Callithrix jacchus: one gene and its partners. The protein of the gene in region 3 purifies or fractionates together with the protein of the main gene of each other region. This does not show direct contact. Links are inferred from orthologs where the notes say so. Each region holds a gene or a part of one and is shown on either strand. Other genes may lie near its edges.

What was found.
Region 1: the proteins of GDI2 (region 3) and RAB8A purify together in Homo sapiens (co-immunoprecipitation; 5 studies listed by BioGRID and IntAct, with this or other methods). This does not show direct contact. The link is inferred for Callithrix jacchus from reciprocal best matches to the Homo sapiens genes GDI2 and RAB8A.
Region 2: the proteins of GDI2 (region 3) and RAB7A purify together in Homo sapiens (affinity purification with mass spectrometry; 3 studies listed by BioGRID and IntAct, with this or other methods). This does not show direct contact. The link is inferred for Callithrix jacchus from reciprocal best matches to the Homo sapiens genes GDI2 and RAB7A.
Region 4: the proteins of GDI2 (region 3) and RAB10 purify together in Homo sapiens (co-immunoprecipitation; 3 studies listed by BioGRID and IntAct, with this or other methods). This does not show direct contact. The link is inferred for Callithrix jacchus from reciprocal best matches to the Homo sapiens genes GDI2 and RAB10.
Region 5: the proteins of GDI2 (region 3) and RAB24 purify together in Homo sapiens (affinity purification with mass spectrometry; 3 studies listed by BioGRID and IntAct, with this or other methods). This does not show direct contact. The link is inferred for Callithrix jacchus from reciprocal best matches to the Homo sapiens genes GDI2 and RAB24.
Region 6: the proteins of GDI2 (region 3) and RAB8B purify together in Homo sapiens (affinity purification with mass spectrometry; 3 studies listed by BioGRID and IntAct, with this or other methods). This does not show direct contact. The link is inferred for Callithrix jacchus from reciprocal best matches to the Homo sapiens genes GDI2 and RAB8B.
Region 7: the proteins of GDI2 (region 3) and RAB4A purify together in Homo sapiens (co-immunoprecipitation; 3 studies listed by BioGRID and IntAct, with this or other methods). This does not show direct contact. The link is inferred for Callithrix jacchus from reciprocal best matches to the Homo sapiens genes GDI2 and RAB4A.

What each region holds. Positions count from the first base shown.
Region 1 is NC_133523.1:14,726,577-14,730,691, reverse strand, and holds the start of RAB8A (ras-related protein Rab-8A), read right to left. Parts: upstream 2,801-4,115; 5' UTR 2,787-2,800; coding exon 2,663-2,786; intron 1-2,662. UniProt on the Homo sapiens protein: The small GTPases Rab are key regulators of intracellular membrane trafficking, from the formation of transport vesicles to their fusion with membranes.
Region 2 is NC_133516.1:73,420,041-73,424,125, forward strand, and holds the start of RAB7A (ras-related protein Rab-7a), read right to left. Parts: upstream 2,801-4,085; 5' UTR 2,607-2,800; intron 1-2,606.
Region 3 is NC_133508.1:7,972,771-7,976,940, reverse strand, and holds the start of GDI2 (rab GDP dissociation inhibitor beta), read right to left. Parts: upstream 2,801-4,170; 5' UTR 2,617-2,800; coding exon 2,572-2,616; intron 2,343-2,571; exon of another isoform or gene 1,933-2,342; coding exon of another isoform or gene 1,891-1,932; exon of another isoform or gene 1,737-1,890; intron 1-1,736. UniProt on the Homo sapiens protein: GDP-dissociation inhibitor preventing the GDP to GTP exchange of most Rab proteins. By keeping these small GTPases in their inactive GDP-bound form regulates intracellular membrane trafficking.
Region 4 is NC_133515.1:88,923,384-88,927,662, reverse strand, and holds the start of RAB10 (ras-related protein Rab-10), read right to left. Parts: upstream 2,801-4,279; 5' UTR 2,289-2,800; coding exon 2,162-2,288; intron 1-2,161. UniProt on the Homo sapiens protein: The small GTPases Rab are key regulators of intracellular membrane trafficking, from the formation of transport vesicles to their fusion with membranes.
Region 5 is NC_133503.1:68,847,358-68,851,525, forward strand, and holds RAB24 (ras-related protein Rab-24), read left to right. Parts: upstream 1-1,408; 5' UTR 1,409-1,832; coding exon 1,833-1,949; intron 1,950-2,032; coding exon 2,033-2,101; intron 2,102-2,295; coding exon 2,296-2,374; intron 2,375-2,479; coding exon 2,480-2,547; intron 2,548-2,627; coding exon 2,628-2,727; intron 2,728-2,944; coding exon 2,945-2,995; intron 2,996-3,134; coding exon 3,135-3,187; coding exon of another isoform or gene 3,188-3,197; intron 3,198-3,309; coding exon 3,310-3,453; 3' UTR 3,454-3,668; downstream 3,669-4,168. Other genes in the region: PRELID1 (PRELI domain-containing protein 1, mitochondrial), read right to left, coding at 282-507, 1,046-1,137.
Region 6 is NC_133509.1:10,007,295-10,011,246, reverse strand, and holds the start of RAB8B (ras-related protein Rab-8B), read right to left. Parts: upstream 2,801-3,952; 5' UTR 2,782-2,800; coding exon 2,658-2,781; intron 1-2,657. UniProt on the Homo sapiens protein: The small GTPases Rab are key regulators of intracellular membrane trafficking, from the formation of transport vesicles to their fusion with membranes.
Region 7 is NC_133520.1:21,262,660-21,266,802, forward strand, and holds the start of RAB4A (ras-related protein Rab-4A), read right to left. Parts: upstream 2,801-4,143; 5' UTR 2,634-2,800; coding exon 2,603-2,633; intron 1-2,602. UniProt on the Homo sapiens protein: The small GTPases Rab are key regulators of intracellular membrane trafficking, from the formation of transport vesicles to their fusion with membranes.

The DNA of each region.
Region 1 (4,115 bases), on a different chromosome or scaffold from region 3:
GAACAGCCACTCAATCCTTGGTCTATAAAGAAAACCCAGAGGTGCCCTCAGCCAACACGGAATCGCTTTTTTTTTTTTTTTTTGAGACAGTCTCGCTCTGTTGCCCAGGCTGGAGTGCAGTGGCACAATCTCGGCTCACTGCAACTTCTGCCCCCTGGGTTCAAGCGATTCTCCTGCCTCAGCCTCACGAGTAGCTGGGACTATAGGCAAGTGCCACCACGTCTGGCTAATTTATGGAATTGTCTTTAAGCATTGAGAGATTCTGCTTCAGGATTAGACAGCCCAGTGTGCCTAGGCTTCCTAAAGCATACCCCACCTCCTGCCATGCGTGCACAGGGACACACAAAATCAAGGAGCACTGTTAGGTTGGCTAAGCTCCACAGTAGCGCTCTGCCCTACACTCCTGCTGGGTTTTATTAACACGCCAAATTTAATTAGGAAGTGCAAACTTTATGAGACCTAAGAATTATGAGGCCTGAACTTCAAGGTCACGGTGAATTAGACTTTCCTAGAAGACAGAAGGCTACAAATGGAAGGAGCGGAACGCTGGGGTGGGAGGGAGGGATCTTGGGGTCACCTTGCTAGGTTAACTTTCACCAAGTCATATCCTCATCTGCAAATGGAAGATGGCCTCTTTAAAGCTTTAAAGTAACTCTAAAGAGGGGGTTTGAGGGGAAGGTGCTGAGGCTAGGAAACTGGGAACTGGGTAAATGCAAGCCACAGTCTGCCCACAGTTGTATTCTTTTTTTTTGAGACAGGGTCTCGCTCTGTTGCCCAGGCTGGAGTGCAGTGGCGCCATCAGAGCTCACCGCACCTTGACCTCCTGCGCTCAATCCACCCTCCCACCTAAGCCTCCTAAGTGGCTGGGTCTACATGGGTGAGCCACTATGCCTAGCTAATTTCATTTGATTTTTTGCAGAGATGGGGTTTTGCCCTGTCGTCCAGGCTGAATTAAAGCCACTTTTTGATTGGCTGGGGCACAAGGGTTACCCTAAAGCTTGGCCTTGGAGTGGGGGAGGGGGAAGAATTCAGAAACATCTGTCTTCAGAGGGTGGAAGCTGTCACCACAGGAGCCATTCATTTGTTTTCTCTAGATGGCCTCTGGTTGTGATGACAACCCCTTATTGTCTAATTCTAGTCCTCAACCACCAGGGCACTAGCCCAGGCAGACAGCGTCACTCCTGCTCTGAAGACAGCAGGGGTCAGAGAGGGGTAGTGCACGTTCAAGGGCCAGCAGCAACTAGGAACCAGACATGATGATTTCCAGTTAATTCTCTCTACTTTACATCTGGCATATAACTGTTTCATAAAGTGCAGCTCCTCGAGGGGGGCAAGAATGGAATTGGCACATTATCATGAGATTTAGGGAGATAACACGATTCTGTTGAAGTCACACATAAAGCAAAGGCCATTCTCTATGTTTTCTTGACTTTGAATAAACTCCTTGACTTAGTGACCGTTCCCTCACTATCCCCATCCCTAGCAGGGCTGCAGAGCTCACAGGCCACTCTGATCGGTGTTACTCCCAGGTCTAACCTTTTCATCGTGGGCCAGGACTGCTTCTGTGGCGCTGAGAGAGGTCAACTCTACTTCTGTGGACATCACAACTGAGACATCACAACAAGCCAATTTTGTTCAACCACGATGTGGGCTGGCCCTACGGGAAAAGCTGTTCTAAATTGACAACCGGTGTCCTGGGCCCTTTGATAGGGAAGTCAAGGCTGTCTGTGGCAGTGGCTGATTTAGTTTCTCATTGAGGGTTTTATCTTGCATCTTCTTGGGGATGACAGGTCCCAGGGCAGGCAGCACTGTCACTTGCCATTGCTGTCATCCTGGAGCAGGATAAAAGGCAGGCAGGGAAAAGGTCCTGACTCCTCTTATCATTTCTTCTAGAGGAAAATACACTTATGGGGGAAAACATGGCAAGGAGAGGGACTCAACCTCTGGATGCTCCAGAGAAGAGGAGGAATGGTGTGAGTTAGAGTCCCGGCTCCAAGGTGCATTAACTGAGTTTGTCATCAGCCAGGGGTGTGTGGTGCTAACTCTCTAGAAGAGCTAAGCCTCGAGTTTTGGGGTGAGACACAGCCAGGATTAAATTCCATTAAATCCCATTCTCACCACCTGCAGACTGTGTGGCCTTGGATAAGTCCCACGCCCTCCCTGAGCCTCAAATTACTCATCTGTGAGACGGGCTCATAACAGCACTTAAAACACCGAAACTAGAGTGTGGAAATGCACGTGAAGGACTTGGCACATAGCAATTGCTCATTAAGGCGACATGTCACCGTCTTTTTCCCACAGCCAATTCCTCATGACTCAGTTTCCACCTCTGTAAGACAGGAACCGCAAAAGAACCGCTTCGAGGGCTGCTGCTAGGACAGACCGAAAGGACGGGTGCGAAGACGCCTGCCCAGGACATAACACTCCCTAACGAGCGGGCTGAGGATGGGAGCCTCAGTCACCCCATCTGCAAAATGGGCACCTGGTCTCCCCCGCCACGGCCCATGAACCCCGAAACGGCGGTGCAGGCGGCTGCTCTTCTCCCTTCGACCCTCTCAGAGCCCTCGGCCCGCCCAGCAGGGTAGATTTCTCAGCCCCAGCCCCTCAGGGGCGCGCCCAGCCCGGGCCTCCGGCGCCCCTAGCCACTCCCGGATCCCGCTACCTATGGTGGAGATAAACGTGGAGTTGAAGGCGTCCTCGGAGAAGCGGAACAGGACACAGGTCTTCCCCACCCCCGAGTCCCCGATCAGCAGCAGCTTGAACAGGTAATCGTAGGTCTTCGCCATATTACACTCTCTCCCCGACAGGAAGTGCAGCTAGCGCCTATCCACTGGCCACCAGCCCCGTCCATCAGCGCCGAGCCCGCCCCTTATTGGCTCCAGGCCCGCAGCGTGTCACCGCGGCCGACACTCGCCCCTGAGTCCCGCCCGCCGCGGGGAGACCTGGGGAGGGGGCGAGCGTAGCGCGGAGCCGGAAGCAGCCCGAGCGTACCTCCCATTGGCCAGCACTGATATGAGGACGGGCTCTGATTGACCAGCAGTAAAGAGTCGAGGGGCTTCAAAGGGGGACGAGACGGGGGCGTGGCATTATGTGGCCCCTGCCTCCACCACAGACTCGGCGGCCCGGCCCCGCCCCAAAATGGGAGAGGGAAAGCAGCGAGCAGCGCCAACGGCTCGCGCGCCGACAGTCTGTGGGCGGGGCTTGGGGTGCGTGCGCACGCGCACCCGGAGGTCCGTTAGGCGCCAGCAGAGGGCGCACGCGCATAGTTGGGGAGGGTATCTCTGGGTCTCGCCCTCACAATTCGCGCAGCCTCAGTAGGCGCCGAAGCGAGCGCGGGAAAGGACTGAAGAGCTTTTTTATACGTCTGTGGTCTGCCGGGGCAGCGTGAGCCGAGGGAGGAAGGAGAGAGGAAGCGCTGTATAATCGAAAAGTGACCCCCGAGGCGAGATCCGAGGTCTCGGCTGTGGCTTGGCAACCTGCTTAGAGATACCCAAGCTCTCCGCCACCTGAGCGGCGTCACCGCCACGAGCTGTGCCCCAAGGCGCGCGCCGTCCCCCTCAGGGCCCGCCCTCGGCCGCCTTAGGGGTTGTCCGGGCCAGCCTTGCGGGTTAGGGCAGTGAGGATGCTGGGTCCTATCTAGGGTCGGCGGTTCTGTGTCTGGTGGTCCTCTCAACATTGAAAAAACAGACCGTCGCGGTGGCTTCCGCCTGTGATCATAGCGCTTCTGGAGGCCGAGGCGGAGGATCGCTTGAGGCCAGGAGATTGAGGCTCCACTAGCCTTGATTGCCCCACTGCACTCCAGCCTGGGCGACAGAGCGAGACACTCGAAAAAAGAAAAGGAGGGATACATTAGGAAAATCGGGCTTGCAGCCGGGTCTGGTGGCTCATGCCTGTAATCCCAGCAGTTTGGGAGCTGAGGCAGGCAGATCACTTGAGGTCAGGAGTTCGAGACCACTGCATTCCAGCTTGGGTGACAGAGCGAGACTCTTTCAAAAAAAAAAACAAAACAAAAAAACTTAAAAAAAATTAGCCAGGTGTGGTATTGCATGCTTGTAGTCCCAACTACTCAGGAGGCTAAGGTGGGAGGATCCCTTTAGCCTTGGAGGTCAAGGCTG
Region 2 (4,085 bases), on a different chromosome or scaffold from region 3:
TGGAAGATAGGGCAGCACAGCTTTTCTACCTAGAATGGTACTGAAACTATGGCTGGTACAGTATCAGTGCTACATTAAACCTTCTTCCCAGCTGAAGAAAAAAATCCAGCACGCCAAATGTATCTTTGCTCAAAGACACTGCAGTGCAACATTAATGGCAGTGACACAGACTACCTCTTGAGTGAACAAAAAATGCCACTAGAGTTGGCCAGGCAAGATGGGTCACACCTGTAATACCAGCACTTTGGGAGGCTGAGGCGGGCAGATCACCTGAGGTCAGGAGTCGAGACCAGCCTGACCAACATAGAGAAACCTCACCTCTACTAAAAATACAAAATTAATTAGGCATGGTGGCGCATGCCTGTAATCCCGGCTACTCAGAAGACTGAGGCAGAAGAACTGCTTGTACCAGCGAGACAGAGGTTGTGGTGAGCTGAGACTGCACCATTGCACACCACTCTGGGCAACAAGAGCGAAATTCCATCTCAAAAAAAAATTAAATAAAATGCCACTAGAGCAAAAGGAGAAACAAGTTGAGTGCTGAAGGTTACTCTTTAAAAGATGAGATTAATTAGAAACTGTAATATTATCTTCTACACTCTCTGGAGAGCAAGCCTTATATACAAATGCTGTTGTTGAAATTAACGAAGTCTTAAAGTTAGCCAGAACACCAGCCTTTGGATTACTACTGATTCATCAGCAGAGAAGAGAAAATAACTCTTTCAAAAAGCCTGGAGTTCTGCCACCAAATCATTCCACAACAGAATTTCTGGCCAAGATCATTCACCTTTTAAAAATTCCTTGAGGACAGGAACCATGCCTATCTCCCTGAGTCAATATCCCGCAATGCCTGATACATTGCTGATACTCAATGAATACTCAAAATACTTCATGAACGAATAAAAAGGTGCCTATCATTACTCTCCTCTAAACTCAAACATCATATAAAGCTACAGTACTTATTACTCACTTAAATATTTTAGGCTGGGTAGCAAAGTTTAAAAAAAAGGACACATTTGAATACAACAGGATTGTGAACACTAAGCTTTAGCTTAGCCAGTCCCTTCAGAAGTACTCCTAACTCACCTTCCAGTTCTTACACTCAAATCTGAACAAACCTTCCCAAGTAAGAAGAGAGAAACACACTAAGAGGAGATTTTATTAATCCATGGATGAGAAATCATGTGCCTCATCAGCTGCTTAAGTCACAAGGAAGAGACAAGAGCCTGTTCTTTAGGAAACTAAAGATGCAGTATTTTCAATAGTAAAGAACCAACTGGCTGGACAGCCATCAACTAAGGTTGTAAGAAAGGTTCACGAAGCAGGCTTGCCAGGCCTACGTGCAAAATTTTTCAAACCTCAATTAAGTACCCTGCCAGTATTCAAGAGCTCCTAATTCGGTGATAGTACACCACAACATGTGTGATAAGTCGCAAATGGCATTTCTTATAGCCTTAAGGTAGAACTGATGAAAGACTTTCGAATGACATCAACAGAAAGAAAGGAGGTGGTGGGAGGCAGTGAGGTACAGATACCAGGTGGCAAAAGATAAACCACAAGCTTTGGGGGCAAGTGAAAGCAGTATAACCTAGAAATTGAATACACTGCTCTGGACTCTGACTGCCTCGGCTTGAAACTCTGCTTCATAACTTATTGGCTGTGTGGCCTTGGTCCAATGACTTAACCTCTCTGTTCTTCAACTTCCCACTGTTAAGTGGGCACAACAGTGGTACTTCAGAGGATTTATGTTTTCTTTCAACAAAGGGTAAACATAATGATCTATTAAAAGGTCTTGCCACGCTGCCTAACATACAATAAACGCTCAAATATTTGCTGTCAGTATTCTCAATATTCCCCTTATGAACCATAGGTAACAAGACTAAAATGAATGCAGAAAGAGGCCCCCAACACGGTCGGAATGGAAACACAACTCTGCATCCAACTACCATCTTTCCTCAAATAAGTTGAAAAACTTACCTCAGGATTTACCGTAACATGCCTATGACAAAAAGCTCCCCGTCTCCCAGCGCCAGAGGCACCTCAATGTACACAAGTACCGAGCCGAGCCCAGCGCACGTGACCTGACTCACTGCCCTGACTCAGTTGCTGTCAGGGAACCTCTCCCACTAACAGGGTCAGGCTGTTCAACTGAAGAGCCGGATGAGAACGCGCGGCTCGGCCCAAGCGCCTGTGACCCATGCCCGCCAGGTGGGCACAGCGGCGGGCGGGGTGGGCTCCGACACCCTCAGTCTCGCCGCGCTAAGGAACTCCACCGGCTAGCGCGTCCTGCCGCGGCGCAGGGCCGCCCAAGTCAGGGAACCCTCTCGGGTCTCTGAGATCGACACCAACAGTAAACAGAGCGTCCGAGACTGGCGGCCGGGGTCGGAAACCCAGCCAGAGGTCACACCCGACGACCTCCGACCTCTCCAAGCCGGGCGGGGTCCGGGCCTGCTCCAGGGACCTGAGCGATGCCGAGTTTCCCCGCGAGGCCAGGGCTGGGCCCGGAGTCTGCCCAGGAGGACAGGGAGGACGCGAGGCCCTGGCGACCGAGGGGCTGAAGAGGGGGATGGGGCCAGGCCGCCGGCCGGGCTGGGCCCGCTGCTTACCGCGGCCGCTGCGCTGGGGGCTCCGGGCCGGGCGCGTAGCGAGGGCTCCCGCCGAGGAGGAGACTCAACGGAGGACAAAAGCGGGGAAGTCCAAGTTCCAGTTCCAGCGAACTATCCTGGGCTCTCCAAGCCGCCAACTCCGCCGCTGCCGCCGCCTCAGGCTTTATGGCCAAGACTCCAAGCCCGCTCCCACTTCCGCCACCGCCACCGCCCCGAGCGGAAGTACCTGTCACGAGACGCTCGACGCCAGGGTGAGGAGGTGGAGCCCCGCCTCAACCTTGCGTCACGTTCCGGCTGCCTCGTGCCTGAGCCTGGGTCACGTGCTACAAACATGTCTGCTCCCAGGAGATAGTCCCCATCTTTGAGGTTCGTACAAGAAGCAGGACGGCGCCATGTTGGACCCGCAGACGGATTCCCTCAGCCATCCGTCCTTACTACAGAATAAAGAATGCCAGCGAAGAGAGGACGAGGGGTAAACTGGCCATTCCAGTTGTGTCCTTCTTCGGAAGGCATCATTTATCCTTACTTTAACCACTTAAGCAAAGATTAGTATCACCATTTTACAAATAAGAAGCTGAGACCCAGCATATCAGGTCACTTGGTCTAGCTCAACACAGAAACTGGTGGAGCAGGGTTTTGAACCAAGGTCTGTCTGATGCCAATGTGTGTTATCGTTCTAGTAGACTGTAAATGACTACAGCAATTGTGTGGCTCGGCGATAGAGACACTTAAAAGAAAGACACTGTCTGGCAGAAGAGACAGCCCACAAAAATGGAAAAATAGCTAAGCCTCTCTGAACTTAGTCTTAAAGAAGATGTGACAAAGATGGACCTAGTAGAACTCTTCTTGCAAGCATGGAGCCGCCTCGCAAGCACCAGCCCCATCTGAACACATCAGGATCCACTCAGAACTTTTGTCCACATCTTCAACAATGCCCTTTCATAGTCATTTTTTATCTTGGTTCATTCAAACTCCATTCTTTCAATTGTTCCATCCAAAAACCTTGCAACTGTTACAGTAGATAAGTAGTCAGACCTGAGCAGGGCAGGAGATGGGCCACTCCCCCACCAGCAATGTGAGGCAACCATCAGGTAGTGGTCAGGTGGTTGTTAAGCTGTCACTCTAAAACAATAAGTGGTTGCAGCCAGACCTGGGGAGAGGCAGTCTCCCAATAGATAGAAACACCCAAAGCTGGCTATCAGCAGCTTCTCGATAAGATCTCAGGAGTTGAAGGGCCTGGGTAAAAAAAAAAAAAAATCTTAGGAGCTAGGCGAGCAGTCTCAAGCCTGAGATGGTACATTGTCTGGGGTTCCCCCTTTTTCAACTAAAATTGGCTCTTTCCCCAAAAACCTCACAATCTATTCTCCTGTTTTCTCTATGTGTATTCTGAAATGGCCTTGCATACCATCTGCCTCTGGAGTAAGTCTACTCTTTCTCTGCTTTCACTTTGCAAGTGCCCAGGTGTTGGAGACCAGCTTG
Region 3 (4,170 bases):
GGGTCTTCACAACTTCAACATGTTACAGCTTAACACAATCATTAATCTTCATGATGTGAAATCTTAAGTTATCTATCGAGTAAATTGTTTCTTCGTTTGTTTAAAAACAAAAAAACGTTGTGACAGCACTTAGAAAGGCATTATCCAAAACCTGTGGCTCTTCAGAGATAACCCTGAATTCCTTAGAAAATTCAAGTGCGTGGAATGTTCCATTTCTTTTACACACAGAATGAAGATTTTACTCCTTTATACCAAATCATTTTGTATCTTCTTTATTAGCATTACTATCAGCATCTGTGACTGTGAGCTTGGACTTAACAACTGATACAGTTACAGCACTAAGCAACACAAAACTCCAGCACCTTCTTCACTTCTTTAAAAGTAACAAGTTTCTAGCACTGAAAGTACCTGCCTTTTCTTAGGTTCTTCAATCTCGGGCACTAAGTATAAAGTAAATTTTGAGAAAACTAACTCCAGACACTCAAAAGTTAATTCTAATCTGAGGGCTAACTGGTTTTCTCTTCTTCTACTTTGTAGTCGTCTAATTCCTGGTATCACTACAAGTAAGGATATAAGATTTCTCATTATCGAAATCATCCTGTCATCATTACTCCTATCAATGATGCTAATAATGTGATTGTCCTGGACTGATGTATCAAAGAACATCTCAGAAAACTTAGGAAGGCTCAGAGATTAAAGTTATCACAGCCACAAAACAACAGCAGAAATGGGTCTGATTTCTAGTTAAGTATTCATCCATCATTCATCAAAGAGTTCACATCTCAAATGAAAATTTTTTAAAAGTGCATTCATTATCTTAACTTGTTATATAAAAAGACTGTTTCACCATCTTTGATACAATGTGATGTGAACGAGGCTTGTGGAAGCCTGCATGATGGTGGATTTGCACTCACTTGTCCATGCTCAACTGACCTCATTTGTAAGCAAATCTGAAAGACCATCAACCACCATAGAAAAACAGTGCAACTATCCGGCTCTTACAACATGCTGGCAGCAACGCTACCCATTCCAACGTGCAAAATCCACCACATACTGCTAAGCTCAGCCTGGAATCCCAATCAGGCACTTAGAAAAACACACACACAAAACCTGCAATGGGTAGGGCCTATTCACTTGGCCATCCAACAGTCTTCCAGCTTCTCCAAGACCGTCACAGGATTATTCCTGGACTGGTCAAACATAACAAAGTATTCGGAAAGAATAACCTCTAATAATTGCATATAACTATAAACAGAAAAATGACAGGCCAGAAAAACACCATTCTGATTATTAACAAACCTTTCCTTAAAAAACTGCCAAATAAAAGTTCGAAGGTTTTCTCTTGCCTAGAGACATCGAAAATTATTTGGAGATGTTGCCTGTGGGGGGAAAACTATTAGTTTGATCCTGAGAGATTATAATAAATTTCAAAAATATTGAAGGCTAAGTCTACATTAAATGACTCAGGAATTTGAGGTCAGAGTACATAGGATACACAAGATTCACATCGGTATTCATCTTAATCATGATCAAGCATAATTTCAAATTTCCCCCATAATTTTGTTAAAATATTTTTTCAAATCGAATTTTTTTGCAAGATGAACAGTCATAAAAAAAAAAAAAAAAACAGAAAAAGTACGAACTACAGCGCCTGCCTGCATTATCTGCAGATTATCTGAAGTTCTCTGAGCAGACAGATAATCAGGAAAATCAATATACCACATTATTAGGTACACCTTGTATATTCACGTATCACAATGCATTCTTCATATTATCTTCCAACTCCCTAAAGAAAGCTCCGGAGTACAGAGAACTTGGCCTCTGGCAATCCATCACCAATCCAGTTCTTAGGGAAGAGTCCAGGAGAGACAAAGGAGGCAGGAAACCCACCAAACAAAAGGAGAAGGCGGCGGAGGTCAGGTGCGGGAGCATCTGATATACAAGTTTGGAAAAATCTCAATTTCCATTCTACAGATGCTCAGTCAGTGGAAGCGAGAGTGGCCAGAAGGATTCCGTGATCCTTCTCACGGGGGGGGCGGGAAGGATTAAAAGACTGATTTCTGCGTCTTCTCCAAAAATAGAAGTTGTCAATCCCTGGCAGTTCCGAATCAGTTACTATCCAAGAATTGTCACGAAATGCCGTGCTCGGCTCTGGCAGCCAGACTGACCCGGGGCAGCGGCCGAGGCCGAGTAGGAAACGCCACAGCGAGGCCTGCACCGCCCCTCAGCCTCGGGTGCTCGTCTCCAACCGCGAGAGGTCACCCGCCCAAAGCAGGGCGCTGGCGCCTCGGCCCGGGCGGGTTTCTCCCTCTCCTCCGCTTCCGCAGGCAGCGAGCGCAGCCGCCAGGGCTCGGCCGTTACCCCGCGCCCGAGCCTCGCGGCCCGGGTTCTCCATTTCCCCGCCCGCCCCTCACACTGGGATCCGCCCGCTCGCCCCGGAACGCGGGGCGCCCCCAAGCCGCCCGTGCCCCCAACCCACGACTCCCGTCAGGAAAACTACGGCTGACGGCAGAACCAGACCCCCGAGGACCTGCGACCCGCGGGCCGTGCAGGAGGCAGGGGTGCGCCCACCGTCAGGCCGGTGCCCAGCACGATCACGTCGTACTCCTCATTCATGGCGGGGCAGGCGCGGACGCAGGACCCGAGAAAGGAGAAGGCGCAGGAGCTCCGGGACCACCCTCCGAGGCTGGAAGCGCTCTCGGGCGCGAGGGAAAGAGGAAGAGAGAGGACAGGAAAATGGAGCTGGCGACGAAGGCAGACCGGCCGCCACCTCAGACGGGAACAGAACTAAGCAGGGAGTGGAGGGGTGGGAAGGGAAGGCGGTGACTGAGCCTCCGCAGCCGGGGCGTGGCCTGCAGGCGCCGCGAGGGCCGCCAATCAGGCACTCCCGTAACTCTCACTGGCTACGTGCTTGTCTCTCGCTCAACTTTTTCCTTCCCCGCCTCTCGCGAGAGGAAACGGGTGGAGCGTCACCATTTTGGCTTCCGGTCTCCGTGCAGCTTCTGCCACGGTGGTCCGGGAGGCGGCGCGCGCATTGGGGCGGAGGTGCACGGAACAGCGGGCGGGGACAGGTCCCGGCCACCACGCTCCTGACCCCCGCCGTCGGGGCGGGAGCTCGCACGGTCCAAGGTCCCAGAGCTGGACCGCCGCCCTAGAACTTTGAGCGGGCGCGTGCGGTGTGCACGTGGGCGAGGAACGCGCGCCAGGCCTTCTTTGGGGGTGGCGGCCGCGGTTCCTCCGCGGGGCTGGGTTCGCCGGGGCCCGGAGCCCGCCGGGAAGAGTTCGGAGATCACACGTGTCCTGTTTCCCGCCCTGTATCCTCCCTGTTTGGTGCTTTGCCGGGCGGGTGCCTTAGGAAATTGGGAGGAGGAAAAGCGGCTTCTTTTGAAAAAGTAACCCTTAGATGAGAGTGAAGGCCAGGTTTCATTGGGAAGCCAATCTGCACCTACCGAGGACTGTAACTTAAAGCCGCTGTAAATGTCGTAGCTGGTCTTGGTGTGCAAAGTTTAGGCCGTAAGAAACTGCTCCTTGCTTGCCTTCTACCCGCTCTTCCCTTTTTCTAGAATTCTGTTAGGAATCTAGCTTCAGTGAGGACACAGGTGTAAGCAGACCCCACGAAAGCCTAGGCAGGTGAATTTCCCAAAGGCATTGATACTTGGAAAACCTGTGTTTTCAGCGCGTGATAAATCTGCGTAGTCAGCAAACAATAAAGATTTGGTATTCAAGAATTCAAGTACTTCTCTATGGCAGCTATTCAGAGCATGCCTTGATAGACCGAACTTCATGTTTAAATCATTCCGATTGAAGAAAGAATGAAACAAGTTTTCACAACGTTTCTCACCCATGAGGAAGGTATATTATATTGGACCATGGACCTTTTGGTGGGGGAGGGGAGAAGAAAGCAAAAGTGAAGTTTAAATTTACGTTCAGCCTTAATTTGATTGTGTATATTTGTGACCAAATGAATTAGTGCAAAGTTGGCCATGCAACTGATTATGCAAGTGAGTGTAACTGTTCTATTGGCTAAGTAGATCATGACTAAAGAAGGTCCGTCTGTTGCTGTCTTCAAGTGATCAGGGGGTCATACTACCTCTATTAATGAAATACCCTTTTTAAAAATTTTTCTGAGACACTCTCGCTCTGTCGTCCAGGCTGGAGTGCAGCAGTGCA
Region 4 (4,279 bases), on a different chromosome or scaffold from region 3:
ATGGGGGCATGTACCCTTTACAAAAACATTGGAGTAGACAATGTTTTGCTTCCAATTCTCTCCATCCACCACTGTTCCTAATGACAGGTTAAAGGTGACCACATGGCTGGGCATGGTGGCTCACCCCTGGAATCCCAGCACTTTAGTAGGCTGAGGCGGTGGACTGCTTGAGGTCAGGAGTTCAAGACCAGCCTGACCAACATGGTGAAACCCAGTCTCTACTAAAAATACATAAATTAGACAGGCACGGTGGTGGGCACCTTTAATCTCAGCTACTCAGGAGGCTGAAGCAGGAGGATTGCTTGAACCCCTGAAGTGGAGGCTGCAGAGAGCTGAGATCATGCCACTGCACTCCAGCCTGGGTGACAGAGCGAAATTCTGTCTCAAAATAAAGTTGACCACATGAATTAAATCCTCAACCTTACTATACGTTTGTTCTATGTTCCCTTTTCCAGAAAGGCCTTATCTCACCCCTCTGACCCAATTCCTATTAGTCCCTCAGACTTCATCATTTTAGATATCATCTCTATGTAAGCCTACTCAGACTCCTCACGATTTAGGCTAGCCAGTCCTCCTCCCTATGGTTACTACTGTAGCACCTTCCACATTGTTATGATTGACCTCACTGGAATGCTCTTCGAGGGGTCTGTTGTGTTCACCACTTATTCCCAGTGCCTAAGAATAGTGCCAAGCATTAGGTGCTCAGTAAATATTTGCTGACCCATCTGATCACCTAACCCCACCCAACTACAGCTAAAAGTGGAGTGTTAAAAGCAAACTTAGTGCATTGTAAGTGCTAGCGCTAAGTGCTAGTGTTCTCTAACCCAGAAGTTAGAGAACAAGTTCTAAGTTTCATGAAATTTGTGAAAGACCAAGAGAACAGTAAGATACTCCGGAAATAAGAACTGTAATTTCCACCCAAAAAGGGTGAGCAAAATAAAAATCTATTTTTAAAAAACCACTTGTCCAATTTAATTTCAGTGTAATTTCTTTTGTGAGAATGAAGCAGCTATTTGTCACACACGCACAAAAATCCAAACCAAATTATTTCAGTAACGCTATAAATTCTTTCAAATCAGCTTAATTTTAACAATTCCCAGAGTTCAAAGACAACTGCAGTTGCTTTTTAAAATCGTCTCAATAGAAAATTACATTTAAAAATGGGTTAAACTACACCGCCACAATGCTGAGTGCTGGGCTCCAAGTGACAGAGGCAGCTATGTGTCTTGAAGAAATGTATTGGGGATCGGATGAGTTTCACAATTAATTTAGCACAATTAGCATCAGCGCCACTAAATTTTCTAACCAGATTCAAAAGGGACTTTCCTAGAGCCTTCCCTTTTCCTTTCCTAAATGGGAAATTCGATTTAAAAGGTCACTCTTTAGCTCTTACTTCCACACTAAGTAATTCTGAAACGTGGTGAAAGTACATTAGAAGTCCTTAGGGCTATGACTGGCAAAATACTTTCCTGTAAATACTACAGTCGAAACAGAAGAGAGAACTTGACTTCATTCTGTTGGGTTTGAGGACAGAAACTGATCATATCTCCCTCAGATTACTGTTTCTGTTGATGTCTCAAAAGGCACTGAGGCAAATATGCCAGAGTCCCACCCCAAGCGCGAAGGGCCTCCGATTGTTTGACACATCAATGGATTAGTCAAGGAGGACAACTCACTTTTCCCTTCTAATTTGCCTTAATTATTCTACACACAAACCCTCAAGTTTACTCTAAGTTATGACCATATGGAATCTTCTTTTTGCCCCGGAGTATAAACTCAGGCCTTTCCCAAATAGCTAGTACTGCTTCTATCACAACCACTGAAATAAATACCTTACATATACCACACATCTAATAATTCCACGCAAATGTGGAAAAAGCCAGTCCTGAAGAAATAAGGTTCCGGAACGTGGTTAAATGATGCATATTTTGTAACCGAAGGCACTGAGCATAGTGGGAGACTTGAAAGCAAAAGGCCGGATGGAAAGCATGGAAGACCCCGCCCCAGTAAGCTCCATACCGATTCAAACAGTAACTTGGGTCTGTCGTTTGGAATCGGAATCACCGAAACAAAGGCGTATATCACGGGAAGCAAGATGTCTGGAGTAAAATAAAAGGTTTGCAGCTACCGAGACCGTACACTGTCCTCCCACAGGTCTTACCTATGGTGGAAATAAAGGTGGTATTGAAGGCATCATCCGAAAAACGAAAAAGGACGCAGGTCTTCCCCACTCCCGAGTCCCCGATCAGGAGCAGCTTGAAAAGCAGGTCGTACGTCTTCTTCGCCATTGGGAGGAGCGGCTCGGGCTCTCGCCGCCGGCGGCCCCAAGGGATCGGTCCCTCTCACTACAGCCAACTCCTCACTCGGGCGTTCTCAGGCCGGAGGACGGGGAAGCGTGGGAAAAAGGAAAGCTCGAGAGGGTGCGGGCGACCTACGAACAGCTTCGAGGAAGCCCAGACAGTGCCTCCGTCCAGTGCCTCCGAGGGCGGCGACCGCAGCTCCGCAGCCTCTCCCAGCCGCTCCGCCCGGTTCCGGGGAGTCGGTCGGGACAAAATGGCCTCCCCTCCCCCCTCAGGGTTTCTCGGCCGGGACGCTCCCACGGGCGAGCAAGCTTGCTCTGCCGTCGAGGAGGTGCGGCGGGCGTGTGTACAGTCTCTCCCCGGAGCAGAAACTCTGCGCTAGCACGCCGCGAGGACAGCGAAGAAGAACCCCCAAGTCGACGGGCTCAGCTACATAGCCCCAGGAAGCCGAGCCACCCCGGCCAGAGCCACCTTTCCCCCGTGCCCTCTCACGCCAGCGTGCGCGCTGCCTGAGACGCACGCAAGGACGTACGCCCGCCCTTCCCTCGCGCCCTCGCCTTGCGGTCCGCCTCTGCGCACGCGCACAAGAGGGCGTGGGGCGCGCCTGGGTGGAGAGTGGAGCGCCCCCTCCGGCCTCCAAGCCTCAGTCTGAAGCTAAACCCAGAGGGGAGAAGGGAGGGGCGAGAGGGGGTGAGGCCGCGGCGCGCTCCCTTTGGCCGCCTGATAGGGTGCGCGGCGTTACGAGCACGCCCCTCGGGAGTCGCTGCCTAGCCACTACGCAGGCGCAGCGCCTTCGGGTACACGCTTTCCGCACCGCGCACCTCTTTCCTTTCCCGGGGTCGCCGACTAGCCCGCGCTGCGGTTTCTCTGCACAGAGTTTGTCGGGTGTGTTGAGCCGGAGGTCTGGGCGCAGCGACGGGCTTGGGTGGCCATGTGTTCCTGTGTAGGTGGAGCTCGTGAATGCGAGAAAAAGTCGTGCCTTGGGTCATTTAATAGCTTCTTTGCTAGAACGAGACTCCTCCCGGCGTGCCACCCGCTCCCCTCCCCCCCGCCAGGGCCAACCCTGACGGGGAAACTTGAGCGCTCCATCCCGGTTCGCTTCTGGAGCAAGAGTTGGAGATGGAAAACCTGGCCATGCTGCTCGGGTTGGTATGATGTAATCCCCACAGCCTCTTCCTGGGCGAGGAGAGGAAGGCTGAGGAACACCTGGGCGCAGGAACAACAACCCCGCGAAGTGGAAGGTTATGTGCGATGCTCAGAGAACCTGCTCTAGGCCTTTGCTGGCCTTTAGGAATCCGGGAGAACCCGAGAGCTCTCCGCAGAGGACGTGGAGCGTCTACCTGCCACCAGAGTCGTACTGGGTTGAAAATTGAAAGGTGGGCCGGGCGAGGTGGCTCTTGCCTGTAATCCCAGCACTTTGGGAGGCCAAGGCGGGTGGATCACGAGTTCAGGAGATCGAGACCATCCTAACACGGTGAAACCCCATATCTACTAAAAAAACAAAAAATTAGCCGAGCGTGTTGGTACGTGCCTGTAGTCCCAGTTGCTCTGGAGGCTGAGGCAGGAGAATCGCATGAACCTGGGAGGCAGAGATTGCAGTGAGCCGAGATCTTGCCACTGCACTCCAGCCTGGCGACAGAGCGAGACCTCGTCTGATTAAAAAAAAAAAAAAATTGAAAGGTGGTCAAGCCTACCCCCAATCCGACACAGCCTCCATCCTCGCATTCTCTCTTCATTTGTTTTACCTACTTCTGACCTCTCTCCCCATCAATCCTATTTACACCGCTCTTTTTCTCCTTGCCTTCCGTAGTTGCAATGTGTATGCTGCTGACCTTCCGTTCTCAGGGTCATCCATCCCTTAAGCACGTCTAGGTGTGCTGGCACAGGAGTTGAACCTGGTGAGCTGGTTCAGCCTGATAAAGCGAAAAACGCTGAGACGTGGGAAGTAAGAAACAGGGATAGGAAAGTAAAAACTACAT
Region 5 (4,168 bases), on a different chromosome or scaffold from region 3:
TTCTGTGCCATATACCTGATGGGAGTGCTTTGCATTTAGAATTTAGGACAACTCAGTAAGAGAGGTACCTCTCCCCTACTGTATGAATGCGTCAGACAGGTCCAGAGAGGCTGACCAGCTGAAAAGAAGAAAATGTGAGGTCATACTCTACAGCTGTCACTCCTCAGTAACCCAGACCTGCCTCAGACCACAAAAGCTCCCTCATGGCTCTCTAGACACACGTATCTGAAGAGCTCTATTTGGGGGTGGGGGAGGCAGGATCACAGCAGGAGGTGTCTCACCATCAGCCGGGCGTGGTTGATGTTCCAGGTGAAGGTGGTCATGGTCTGATTCTGTGGGTCCACAATAGAGTCCTCCAGGATGTACACCGAGTGAGCAACATTGGCAGGAAACAGTCGCTCGGCCCAGCGAGGCATCCTGTTGGTCTTGGTCAGGAGTCGCCGGGACAGCAGTTTCTGGTCAGGGGTCACCTCCCGGTGTACTATGTCTTCCGTCAAGACATGTTTGCTGCAGGAGTCAGTGAAGGTGGCACTCAGGAGCCTGCCCCGAGACTGCCCGAGGGGATTCCCGTTTGGAATCTCCAAGCCCAGAGAGGCCTTCCTGTAACCTTGCAGAGTTGTATGTGTTATGGTTCACACCAGAGTTAAGAGCCCATCCCAGGGCAAATTCCAACTCCCGCCATCTGGCTGACCTGGATTCCTGGGCCTTCCAGCAGCAATAGACCTCATGATTTACTGCACCTCAGGAAAGTGCCACGAGCAGAGGATAGGATTTCCGACCCCAAGATCCCTCCCAACTCCCCTACTGCCGCCCCTTCTTGTCTCACGACCCTGAGAAAAGAACCTTATATTAAGATATCAAGTAAACCACCACCCAGGCCCAACCTCCCTTCAGGACCTTGCAGGCCTGGCCTGGCCGCTTCCCCGATAAGGTCTACGTAGGATTAGATGTCAACTTCTTTCTGGTCCCATTACTCGGGGATTATCCATACTTTGATCTCCAAATAGCGAGATGGTGGGGTTTTGCTCTCCCAAACACCACGTACCTATAGGGATTCGGGTACCGCTGCCAGAAGGCGGCGAACACTTGGTCCCAGGAACTCCGGAGCAAGCTCTGGCCCAGGAAATACTTCACCATCGTCCCGGCCGGAGCGGGCTCAGCACCCACGCAGCATCAGGGGTGCGGAGCCTGGGAGGCACGCGGGGGCCGGGCCGGGCCGGGGCTCGGCGCACACCCTCCGCCAGGCTCGGGGCTCAGTCACCACCGCACCGCGCCCTAGCAGCTGCCGCCGCCGCCGCCACCGCCATGAGTTGTCCGGCTGCGCGCCACTTCCGGCGCAGCCACACGGTAGCCACCGCTTCCGGCGCTCGCGCCACGTGACGTTGCGGCCCCGCCCCCTCTCCCTCTCGCCCCCTCCCGCGGGAGTCGCGGCGCTGCGGGTAGAAGCCGGGTTGCCGGAGACCCTAGGTTCGATTGGTACTCGAGCCGGAACTGAGTCTAAGCCCGCAGGCGAGCGAATGACGGAGTAGCGAGCTGCACGGCGGCGTGCTGCGCTGTTGAGGACGCTGTCCCGCACGCTCCCAGGCCGCCCCGGGGCTTGGGGTCTTCGAAGGATATTCGGCGCCCGGGGCGGAACAGCGGGGGCACACTGGGAGCTGCCGAAAGTGCAAGGCCACGGCCAGAGCTCGACCCCATCGCGCTGTCTCGAATCGTTGGTTGGCGCCGTTTGGGGTTGGGGTCTGAGGCCTGGGCGCTGCCTGGGCCGAGCGGAGATCCGGGTTCGCCCCCGTCCCCGCTCAGGACCCTGACGTGGCTGAAGCGGCCCCGGGAGCATGAGCGGGCAGCGCGTAGACGTCAAGGTGGTGATGCTGGGCAAGGAGTACGTGGGCAAGACGAGCCTGGTGGAGCGCTACGTGCACGATCGCTTTCTGGTGGGGCCCTATCAGAACGTGAGTGCACCCAGAGGGGCCAGGCACGGTGGGCGGGGGCGTAATCTGCACCTATGGCCCCAATCTCTTCCCTCTCGTTGCAGACCATCGGGGCCGCCTTCGTGGCTAAGGTGATGTCGGTCGGAGACCGGACTGTGACATTAGGTATTTGGGTAAGTTCCCTGGGCATCTATTCTAGGGAGTCTCATTCTTGAGGAGGCTTAGGTCCTGCCTATTACTGATTGATTTGTGGCCTCACAGACTCGTTTCTCATTGACCCGTTTCCTTATCTGGAAAATAGTGGGGTCTGGAGAACATGGCCTTAAGTTTGACTCAGACCAGGGCTGAGCCTGTCCCTCCTCTTTAGGACACAGCAGGCTCTGAGCGCTATGAGGCTATGAGTAGAATCTACTATCGGGGTGCCAAGGCTGCCATCGTCTGCTATGGTAAGGGGGAGTTCTGGGCTGGCCCACAAGAAGAAGTGGGTGCCAGGCTAACCAGAGAACAGCCCCTGATCACTTGGTTGTGTCTCCTGCATGCCCCACACCAAGACCTCACAGACAGCAGCAGCTTTGAGCGAGCAAAGTTCTGGGTGAAGGAACTGCGCAGTCTAGAGGAGGTAGGTGAATAGACTTCACCAGAAGACCAAGGGCTAGGGTTCTGTTGGTCTTTGGAGGTGACGCTTGTCTTGTGTGTCAGGGCTGCCAAATCTACCTATGTGGCACCAAGAGTGACCTGCTGGAAGAAGACCGGAGGCGTCGACGTGTGGACTTCCATGACGTCCAGGATTATGCAGACAGTAGCTGTTCCTCACCCTTTGGGGGGTGGGGGTGTGTGGCTGTCTGGGTGGATCACAGAAAATAGGGACTGCCTTGGCTGCTAGGGCAAGGTACTCTAGAAGGGCTTCCTAGCTTCCTTGAACTGTGGGGTCCAGGAGACTCCCTGAACTGCTAGTCCTCCCTTTTGTCTGCTTATCTAATTCTCAGATATGAGGCTTTAGTCACTTCTCTTTACAGATATCAAAGCTCAGCTCTTTGAAACATCCAGCAAGACAGGCCAGAGTGTGGGTGAGTGCTGTGCTGGGGCCTCACACAGGAACAGGCAGGGGCACCAGAGGAAGCTGAATAGGGAACAGAGGGCTGGGTCACTGGGAGATCCCAGGACTACTGGCATTGGGCCCTCATTGATCATCATTTTTCCTGCCAGATGAGCTCTTCCAGAAAGTGGCAGAGGATTACGTCAGTGTGGCTGCCTTCCAGGTGATGACAGGTGTGCTTCCCAGCCTTTATGGACTTACTCTAGGCCCACAGCATCTAGCCTCTTTTCTGAATTACCTGATCCCAAGAGAATGGTGCTGAGCAGCCACCTCTTTCTTTGACAGAGGACAAGGGCGTGGACCTGGGCCAGAAGGCAAACCCCTACTTTTACAGCTGTTGTCATCACTGATTCACCACTCACCTGGCCTGGGAGAATTAAAGGAGTTCCCCAGAGCGGCTGGACCCAGTTCCTTACTGGGCTTGGGTAGTCAAATGTCTGAGCTAACCCAGGTCCTCATGTCAGCAAAGGTGGCACCTGCCTGTGCTGGCCCATGGAACGGAGGCAGCATTGGGCTGACTGTGGGCATGAGGAGGGATAAGGGCTTATTTGGACCCCAGGCTTCTGCCCTGGACAGCACTTGTGTCTGCAGATTATTTAAGTGGCTTCTGATCTGTAAATAAAATCAATGCACTGTGAATCACACCCAGCCCCTTTCCCTGCTGTGTGAATTGGGTGTCAAGACACCCAGTTCTTTCTGGGGCCACCCAGCTGGCCTCACTGGTTTATATTAAGGTTTTCCTATCTCTCATTTTCCTTTGGAAAACAAGACTTCTCCCCAGGGTTACAACTGAGATACTGGGGCTGGGGTAGTACAAAGCTCACAATTCCTTCCGAGTGCTGCAAAGCGTGTGTGAGCTGTGTTGAGATAAAAGGGTCAAGCATTTTATCCAGGTTGGTCTGACCAGCTCTACTGCATCTGTCATGTTTGGGCCCATATGTCAGACCTGTGACTCAGGTCCTGAGCATCCCAGTGACATCCTACAATGCGGTTTAATGGTAGAAAAGTCCTAAGTTCTGTAAGACAGAAAGGTCTAATGGATCCAGATTTGGTTCCAATTTAGAAAAGGGACTTAAACCCTCAGCTTGAGTTTATCATCTGTAAAATAAGGTGACTACTACACAGCCCAAGGATTGTGAGATCC
Region 6 (3,952 bases), on a different chromosome or scaffold from region 3:
TCAAAACCCAGTCAGAAGAGCCCAGGAACTTACAGACCTAGGTACTTCATGACTAGGGAGGAGCTGGTCCACCAACTGTCACCTCAACAACTTCAGATCACCTGGGAATGAGGTGAGAGGCCTGGGGAAGTGGCTGCCGGAGATTTGAACACCCAAAATCTATACTTGTAAGCAGTGAAGACTCTGAGGAACCAGAATGGTGCTAACATTCACCTTATTTTCCCAGCTTAATTTTGACTGCAGAGCATTAGGTTTCAGGTATATAAATTCTGCGGTCTGAAGACAGTGTGCTACCACTTCCTGTTGGAGCCCCAGGGCTAAATAAGAGTTATGGGATTTCCCCTCCTCCACATCAACTGAAGACACAGCTCACAGCCTTTTTACCACATCCACCTCAGAGAAAATATAAAGACCCAGATCTCCCATGCGATTCACCTCCTTTTAATGAGCACTTCCTATTCCAACCTGTTTCAGGACGCTGCTTTTCACACCTTCATAGCGATTAAGCCTCCAAAGAGCCTCGTTTCCATCATTTTTTTTTAATTGACTCACAGACTTGAATCCTTCAAAATGAAAGTAATTTTTAAAAGCTACTATTTTAAAAGGAAGCAGACATCCTTACAGGAAACACAGGACAAAAAAATAAGGAAAAATAGAGAAAATGAATAAAAATATTACAAACAAGCAAGTCATCCAAGAAACTTATGAGAAACAGCATCAGTGAGATTCACTTACTTTCAAGGCAGGAGATGCTCCTCGGAGGATCAAACACAGAATGGACAAAAGGACGCCCACTCAACTTGTTAGAAATTATCCTTTATCATCTGTATTGCAGTATGCATTCAACAATGAAAAACAGTGATTTGAGGCTTTGTAATTAATATGTGTTAAAACTTAACGCCCTTCAGTTGCGGTACCAACAGCTACCACCAAATCTTAGGCATCTACTTGAGAGATGACATTTAAAATGTGCTTTCTCAGAAAAGAAAAAGTCCCACTCAAGACTGACTGCCAAGAACTTGCAATTCAAACTTCCCTAAGCCCAGATATCATAGGAGGTTTTAGACCATTCAATCTATATGAAAGACACCAGAATGAACAAACAAACCCCAGTCTTTTCTAATACTTAAAGAGTGCTCTATATCGAATACTCTGTTTTACAAAAAGATAAATTACCCTTTAAAATACACAAATATGTAAACACATGTATTACCAAAGCCCTAGCTCCCTATTATTTCCCAACCCAGAAATTCATGGTGAAATATGCTGTAAGAACCATATGAAAGACGCCTAAATAAGCTATTATTAGAGGCCAGAAATATCACCAAGACAACCAAAAGCTGAGATTCTTAAGGTACTTAATTAATCCGCAGCTATTTAACAGGAGAAAATGATGCTAAGGTGTTCATTTCTAAGAGCTTAAAACCCTTCAGTTTATAGTAAGTTAAGAGATCTTCTTACCTGAACACAGTGTCTCTCAGTACAAAAGTAGGAAGGAGAGCTCCAGCCAAGATCAGAAAAACTCTTGAATCAATTGGAAGTAACTGGGAGGTATATCACATGTTGTGATTCATTTAACAATAATTAGAATCAAAGCAAAATATACAGGGAGGCGGGAGGTGGGCAGAATGTAAGATCAATTCCTTGGCTGAGAAGTTGTTAAACATTCAAACCCAAGGACTTAAGATACCGAGAAGACTTGCTTCTCAGGAGATGGTAGTAAGGTGGACCATATTTTCCTGACCACACCATTTCCAAAAGTCACCAATTCCCTTAACATCCGTTAACAATCACAGAACAAATTAACGCTCTATAGACATAATTCCATCATTAGTCACGTTTTGCTTTCTCCTGCACTTGACCCAAAGGAAGTAAAGAGAAAATGGTAATCAGTTGCTGGAACTCGTCCTGCACACTACTACTTTCCATTTCCTCCCTTTTCCATCTTCCGTCTTCGCTGCTCAACCTCCCTTTACTACGATGTTGCTTCTGCTTTTCCTTTCCGTCTCACACCCATCTCTCCTTTACGTTCTCCACCAAGTATCCTCATTCCGCCCGAAGGTCCCTTGAACTCTTCTTCCACCTGCAATTTTCCTCTGGCCCCTCCTACGACATCTCTGTCCAGACCTCCTGTGACCAGCGTCCCCCTTCTTCCTCGCCTCCCGACCGCTCATTCCCCTGAATTCCCTTCCAGTTGCCTGGCTCTCACCTCTCTGTCCCTGGTGTCGTCTATCCCTTTACTTCACGTCCCTCTCATTCCCCCTTTCACATTTCCTTCCTCTCTTGTCTTTTAATCCATTTTCGCGTCCACGATCCCCTTCTCTCCCTACATGAGATTTCCTGCATCTTCCCCCCAACACATTTTGTCCCTCTAGGACCCCTCCCTGTCTCCGAACCCTCCCGTTCCCCCAAACCCCCAATTCCTTGTTCCTCTGTTCCCCTTCCCCTTCCTTTGCCCCCAAGTTCCCCCTTCGCCCCTGCCTCAGGTCTCCGCTCGCCCCTCTCCCTCACGCCCTCGCCCCTCTCAGTACCCCAGCCACCCTGCAGTCCCCGGGGTCTCCTCTCCCGGGCTCCCAAGCGCCCCCCGCCCGCTTCCCATCCCCTCGTACCCGCCCCCCAATTCTCTCTCCGGTCCCGGGCCGCAGCCCCTCCCTCACCGATGGTGGAGATGAAGGTGGTGTTAAAGGCGTCCTCTGAGAAGCGGAACAGAAGGCAGGTCTTGCCCACCCCCGAATCGCCGATCAGCAGCAGCTTGAACAGATAATCGTACGTCTTCGCCATCTTCTCGCTCCGGCCCTCTGACCGGGGAGCCTGAGGAGGCGGCGGAGAGAGGCGGGAGGGGGCCGCGGGCGAGGGGGCGTGCCCGTCAATCGGCCGCTGCTCGCCCCGCCCCGCTCCCCGCCCCTCCACTCGGAGAAAGCCTGCGCGCCCCGCCCTGCACTGCCAATCTGCGAGGGCTTCGTCATCACTGCCCGCTCTCCGAGGCTTCATGGGACTTGTAGTTCCTCCGGGGAGCTTCGGGCGTGCCCCGCGCGGTCTGTCCTGGCGGCTCCAGTGGATAAAAGACCTGCTGTGGGCGGGGTGAGAGCGTGGGGGCGTTTCCACCGGAGCAGGGAAGGGAGACCTCGTTTCGAACTCTGCTGGTCAAGCCGCCGGAACTGAACTTTGTTATTTCTTTGTGTGCGGGCGCCTTGTAAATCCAGGACCTCAGAATCAGAAACCCGTAGTCCCCGCATCTCTTCCGCGGAGACCCGGAGCAGAGATGCTTTCTTTTCTTGGCGCTGCTGTGGCGCAGCCTACGGGTTATCTGCAGAGTGCATCATCCAGCTTCTCTCCCAGGCCATGCCCAGCACCACTGTAATCCCCCACCCGCAGCTCCTCAGTCACAGAGCTGGGAAAGAATGGTTACCGTGCTAACTCGAACCTCACTCGTGCCTCTTTCTTCAAACCACACAGACCAGAGCCAAACACGGTGGGTATTTAGAGGATCTGCTACGCTGATCGCTCCCCTATGCCGGAGGAGGATGGATTTTTAAATCTGGGAAGCCTTGTGCTACAGGTCTGTGCCCCATAAAACTGCAAGCATCCTGTGAGGCAGGAACCGGGCCACGGGAACTTACAGAATAAGATTTGAATTTAGTCTTGGCTCTGCGCCTTAACCGCTGTGACAAGTCACGCAGGCACTGTACATCTCAGTTTTCTTAACTGTAAAATGGATATGAAACAAGATGCTTCATAGGATTCTAGTGAAAAATTAAATGAAATGCTAAACGTGAAGGCTCTTCGAAACCCATAAGGCACCGTAGAACTGTTGGCGGTGATGGTAATATTCATCACTCTTCAGTAGGCTCTCAATTAACTGATGACAAATATAGGGGGGAAACAGCATTCTGTTACACTCAGGTTAATCCTTTATTATTTATTGTCTTCGGCTAATTCTTTGTTTTGTGGA
Region 7 (4,143 bases), on a different chromosome or scaffold from region 3:
AGGCAAACATTCTTTCACCAGCTCAGAGGCAAAAGTCCAGAAGGGAGCCTGACTGTTTGACTTTTAAGAAACAATGCTGTATAAATATGGCCAATGATAAGTGAAAGTGACAGCTCAGGACTTGGTTCTAGGTGACTTTTACTTTAGCTTGGCAAACTTCAGCTGTCCTGCTTGCTCTCTCTAAAACTCATTTTCTTTCTTTCTTTTTTGGAGACAGAGTCACTCTGTTGCCCAGGTGGGAGTACAGCGGCACAATCTTGGCTCACTGCAACCTCCGCCTCCTGGGTTTAAGCAATTCTCATGCCTCAGCCTCTTGAGTAGCTGGGATTACAAGTGTGCCACAACATCCTGCTAATTTTTTGTATTTTTAATAGAGATGGGGTTTCGACATGTTGGCCAGGCTGGTATCAAACTCCTGAACTCAACTAATCTGGCCACCTCGGCCTCCCAAAGTGTTGGGATTACAGGCATGAGCCATCCTGTCTGGCCTCATTTTCTATTGATTAGTTCCTACTAGTTTTTAATTTCCTCTATCAGAAGAAAAAATTCAATTCAGAGTTGGAAAGTAAAAATATATTTGAAAGTTACCATGAAATAAGAATACTAATGGTCAAAGCCTTATGATTAGAATTTAATCAGTCAATCTGTGATGCTGAGAAGTTCAGTTAACTGTGTCTGAAGTGGAGATGCCAAAGATATGCTCTATTTTATCGGCTGTGTCTATGAAAAATGAAGCACTAAAAGCTCTATCTCCTGAACTCTTCCAGTCCTTTCTTACTGATTCATGACCCCCATTTGCTTTTCTTAGTTGGACATTCCACCCTTCCCTAGTGCTCCCTGCTCCTTACTCAGGTTAAAGAAACTAAGTGTGAGCTAAAGAGCACTTGAAAGAAGTGCAAAGCTGTAACCAAAAATTGCTAAAGAGTACGTTTTCCTTACATTTCTGACTGTGGTTCTCTACAGGAAGAACCAGACCACTGTCATTTGCAGAAGCATTTGCAAACACTTGTCATGATGAAGGCATCGACTTACTGGAAGATATCCTAAGCCTTCTAGGAACAGATGTCATGCCCCTGTGTCACCAAGAGCAGGGCAGTACCAGTCACAGGAGTCACTCACTTATGTTGGACCAAATGCACTGTGACTCCAGCACGGAAACCCTTCCAAAAGTTCTCATTTTTTTTCTTAGGAGACAGACTGACGCCTTCCTCAGGGCCCTCTTCTCTCTGCCTCCTCATCCATCTCCCCAGCGTAATGCTTGAAACACCCTTCTGGAATTGCCCTTCCCACAGGCCTGAGATGTTCTGTGTGCTGCCTGGTTAATGCCTCCCTGACACCCCTGTCTGGGTCAACTTTGTTTCTAACACACTTTCGCAGACCACATTTCTTCAGAACTCTTGCCTGGTTTTAAGTTATTCACTCATTAGTATCACAACTGGATTAATACTGCATTCCCTCAACAGACTGTACGCTCCATGAGAGCAGAGCCGTGTCTCTGCAGTACTTACAGCCCTCCCAGCGTGGTGCCTGCTTCCCTAATGCCATTCCACAGCATTTGTTGCAGGGAAGGAAAGCAGCACGCCCGGACAGATGGAGACAGGACTAATTTGGCTTGAGGTATGTAATTTTGATCTTGAGCCTCTCTCTGGGATTTTAAAACTCCAAATCAAAGTCTTAATCTGAGAAAACTAACATCTGAAAGAGTGATTAGGGACCGGTAAACCTCTATAAATATTCAACCCTGATACAAAGTACAAGTTGTTTATTCTTGCCACGCAAGGCGAGAGACGAGAGAGAGAGAGAGAGAGAGAGAGAGAGAGAGAGAGAGAGAGAGAGGGAGAGGGAGAGGGAGAGAGGAAGGACACAGTATATGCATTGGGAAAGCTTTCGCTTATTCAAAACAATATTTGTCGAGCACCTCCAGGTCTGAGTGCTGCAGGGGAACAAAGATTAAACAGCCAGGACTTTGCTTCCAAGGCGCTTACGGTCTTAAGGAGACAAGAGACAAGACATGTTCATAAATAGCCAAAATGCAACCCAGAAAAGGCTAAAAACCACTGAGAGAGAGGGAGAAATAAACGAAGCAAGAGGTCTCCGGAGGAAGAGCTGAATTCGTCTATCAATAACTCCTCACTGTAATCCCAACGTAAAGCAAGGAATTCCAAACCAGGAAAGGTCAAACTGGAGTGTTTGAGGAGCACAGGCGTCGCCCCAAGCCCTTCACACCGCTCGCTGGGGATAATATCGCAGCTGAAACAGAACATTAAGCTGGCTTTCCAAACCTTCAGTTATTTACATTAGACGGAGGGGAAAACGCTAAGAGTGCAAGCGCGGAGAAAGAGCAGGAGGAAACTTGAAAAGGCGAATCACGCCAGTGCGCTGTGAACAGCCCTGCCCGCGCCCGCACACCCGCTACCCCACCCCGAGCCCCCCGCGGCCCGCGCACCCATCCCCGTCCCAAGCGCCGACACTTGGAGATCCGTCCCCCGGCTCTGGCCGGTGCCACAAAGACCCTCAAGACCCCCACAGCCCAGGCCCTGCCCAGCGTCGCCGACGCCCCCCGAGGCCCGACCCGCGCGCCCGGCCAGCCCGGGCCTCGTACCGTAGGTTTCGGACATGGCCGTCTGCGACATCTTGGAGCGGCGCCGCCTCTCGCCGGGTCACCGGCTGCTCTCGCCCGCGGTCCGCCGGCGTGTCGCGGTGGGGAAGGCCCTGGGGAGGGGGACCGGAGGAGGGAGGGGCCCAACCGGTCCCCACGGCAACCGCCGGCCTCCCAGCGGCTGCAGTCCAGCCGGACTCCGGCTCCGCGCAGGCGCAGGGCCCTCCGCCCTCGGTCCGGCCGCGACCGGGAGGAGGAGGGCTACGCGAGGCCCGCCCCCTCCCCGCCGCCAGCCCGGGCCTGCGTTTGCGCGTGCGCACGGGGAAGCCTGGGCGGGGCGCACGGGGACCTCGGCGCGCGGCGCAAGCACGTGCATGGCCTGGGCCGCCTGGCGGTGTGCGCCCGGGCGGGCCGAGCTGCGGCTGCGGGATCTGGGGGTTGAGCCCGGATTTCCCGCAGGGAAGGTCGGGGAGAGGCGGGCGGTGGGCAGGCTTGGGGTGACAGAGGGCTGAGGACAGTGGGGTCCAGCTGCCGGACAAAGGAGGAAGGTGCCAGCACTGGAGAGGAAAGCAGTCCATTTGCCAAATTGGCCCGTTTCCGTTAAGACGTTGTCCACCTTCATCATCTGTGGCTGTCAGCCAGGAAGAAACTTCCCTGACGGTGTTACTATCGAGGCCAGACTTGGTTAATGTGTAACAAGGAGGCAGCAGGCCCCAGGTGTACGGCCAGAGGCCGCCCTGGGAGTGGGAGGCAGGTTCATTCACCTGTTGGGAAGCTACTAAGCTTTCACTCCCAACTGCCCGACCCTCTTGGGTGGAGCTGAGCGGATGTGGGCGGATCCACAGAAGTGCAAGGTGCCCAGGTGCTGAAGGGTCACCACAAGCCTACAGACAGTAACCTCTCCACATCCCGTATTACAGGATTCTGGGTTACGGCTGAGACGTATCTCTTGGCTCTCAGTTGGGGATGTTTCCAAATTTAGGAATTTTTATTTTTATTTTTTAATAGGGTCTGGCTCTGTCAGCCCAGCCCAGCCAATTCTGCCTCAGCCTCCTGAGTAGCTAGGGTTAGGGGAACACACCACTACACCGTGCTAATTTTTAATTTTTTTGGTAGAGATTGGATCTCACTATGTTGCCCAGGTTGGTCTTGAGCTGGTGAGTTCAAGCATCCTCTCTCCTTGGTCTCCCAAATTGCTGGGATTACAGGCGTGAGTCATCTCACCTGGCTTTGGATAGTTTGGTTTCAGAAGCAAAAGTGAGTTTGAATCCCCTTCTGTGGGAAATGTAGAGATAAACATTTATGGGAAAGAGAATTTTGGTTGATAATTTGGCCCATCTGAGCATGATCAGGGCCACGTAGCGCCTCATAGTTCCCAGCCTTGTTCACAATAGGTAGTTGAATGCTCAAAATATCCTTGGCTTAGTTCCCAAGTGACCTGGGTTGTGTGGAAAATGCCAGTACATACTTTTTTTTTTTTTTTTTTTTTTTTTCCTGAGTCAGTTTGGCTCCATCCTCCACATAAATTGTCATCAGAGCTTCCC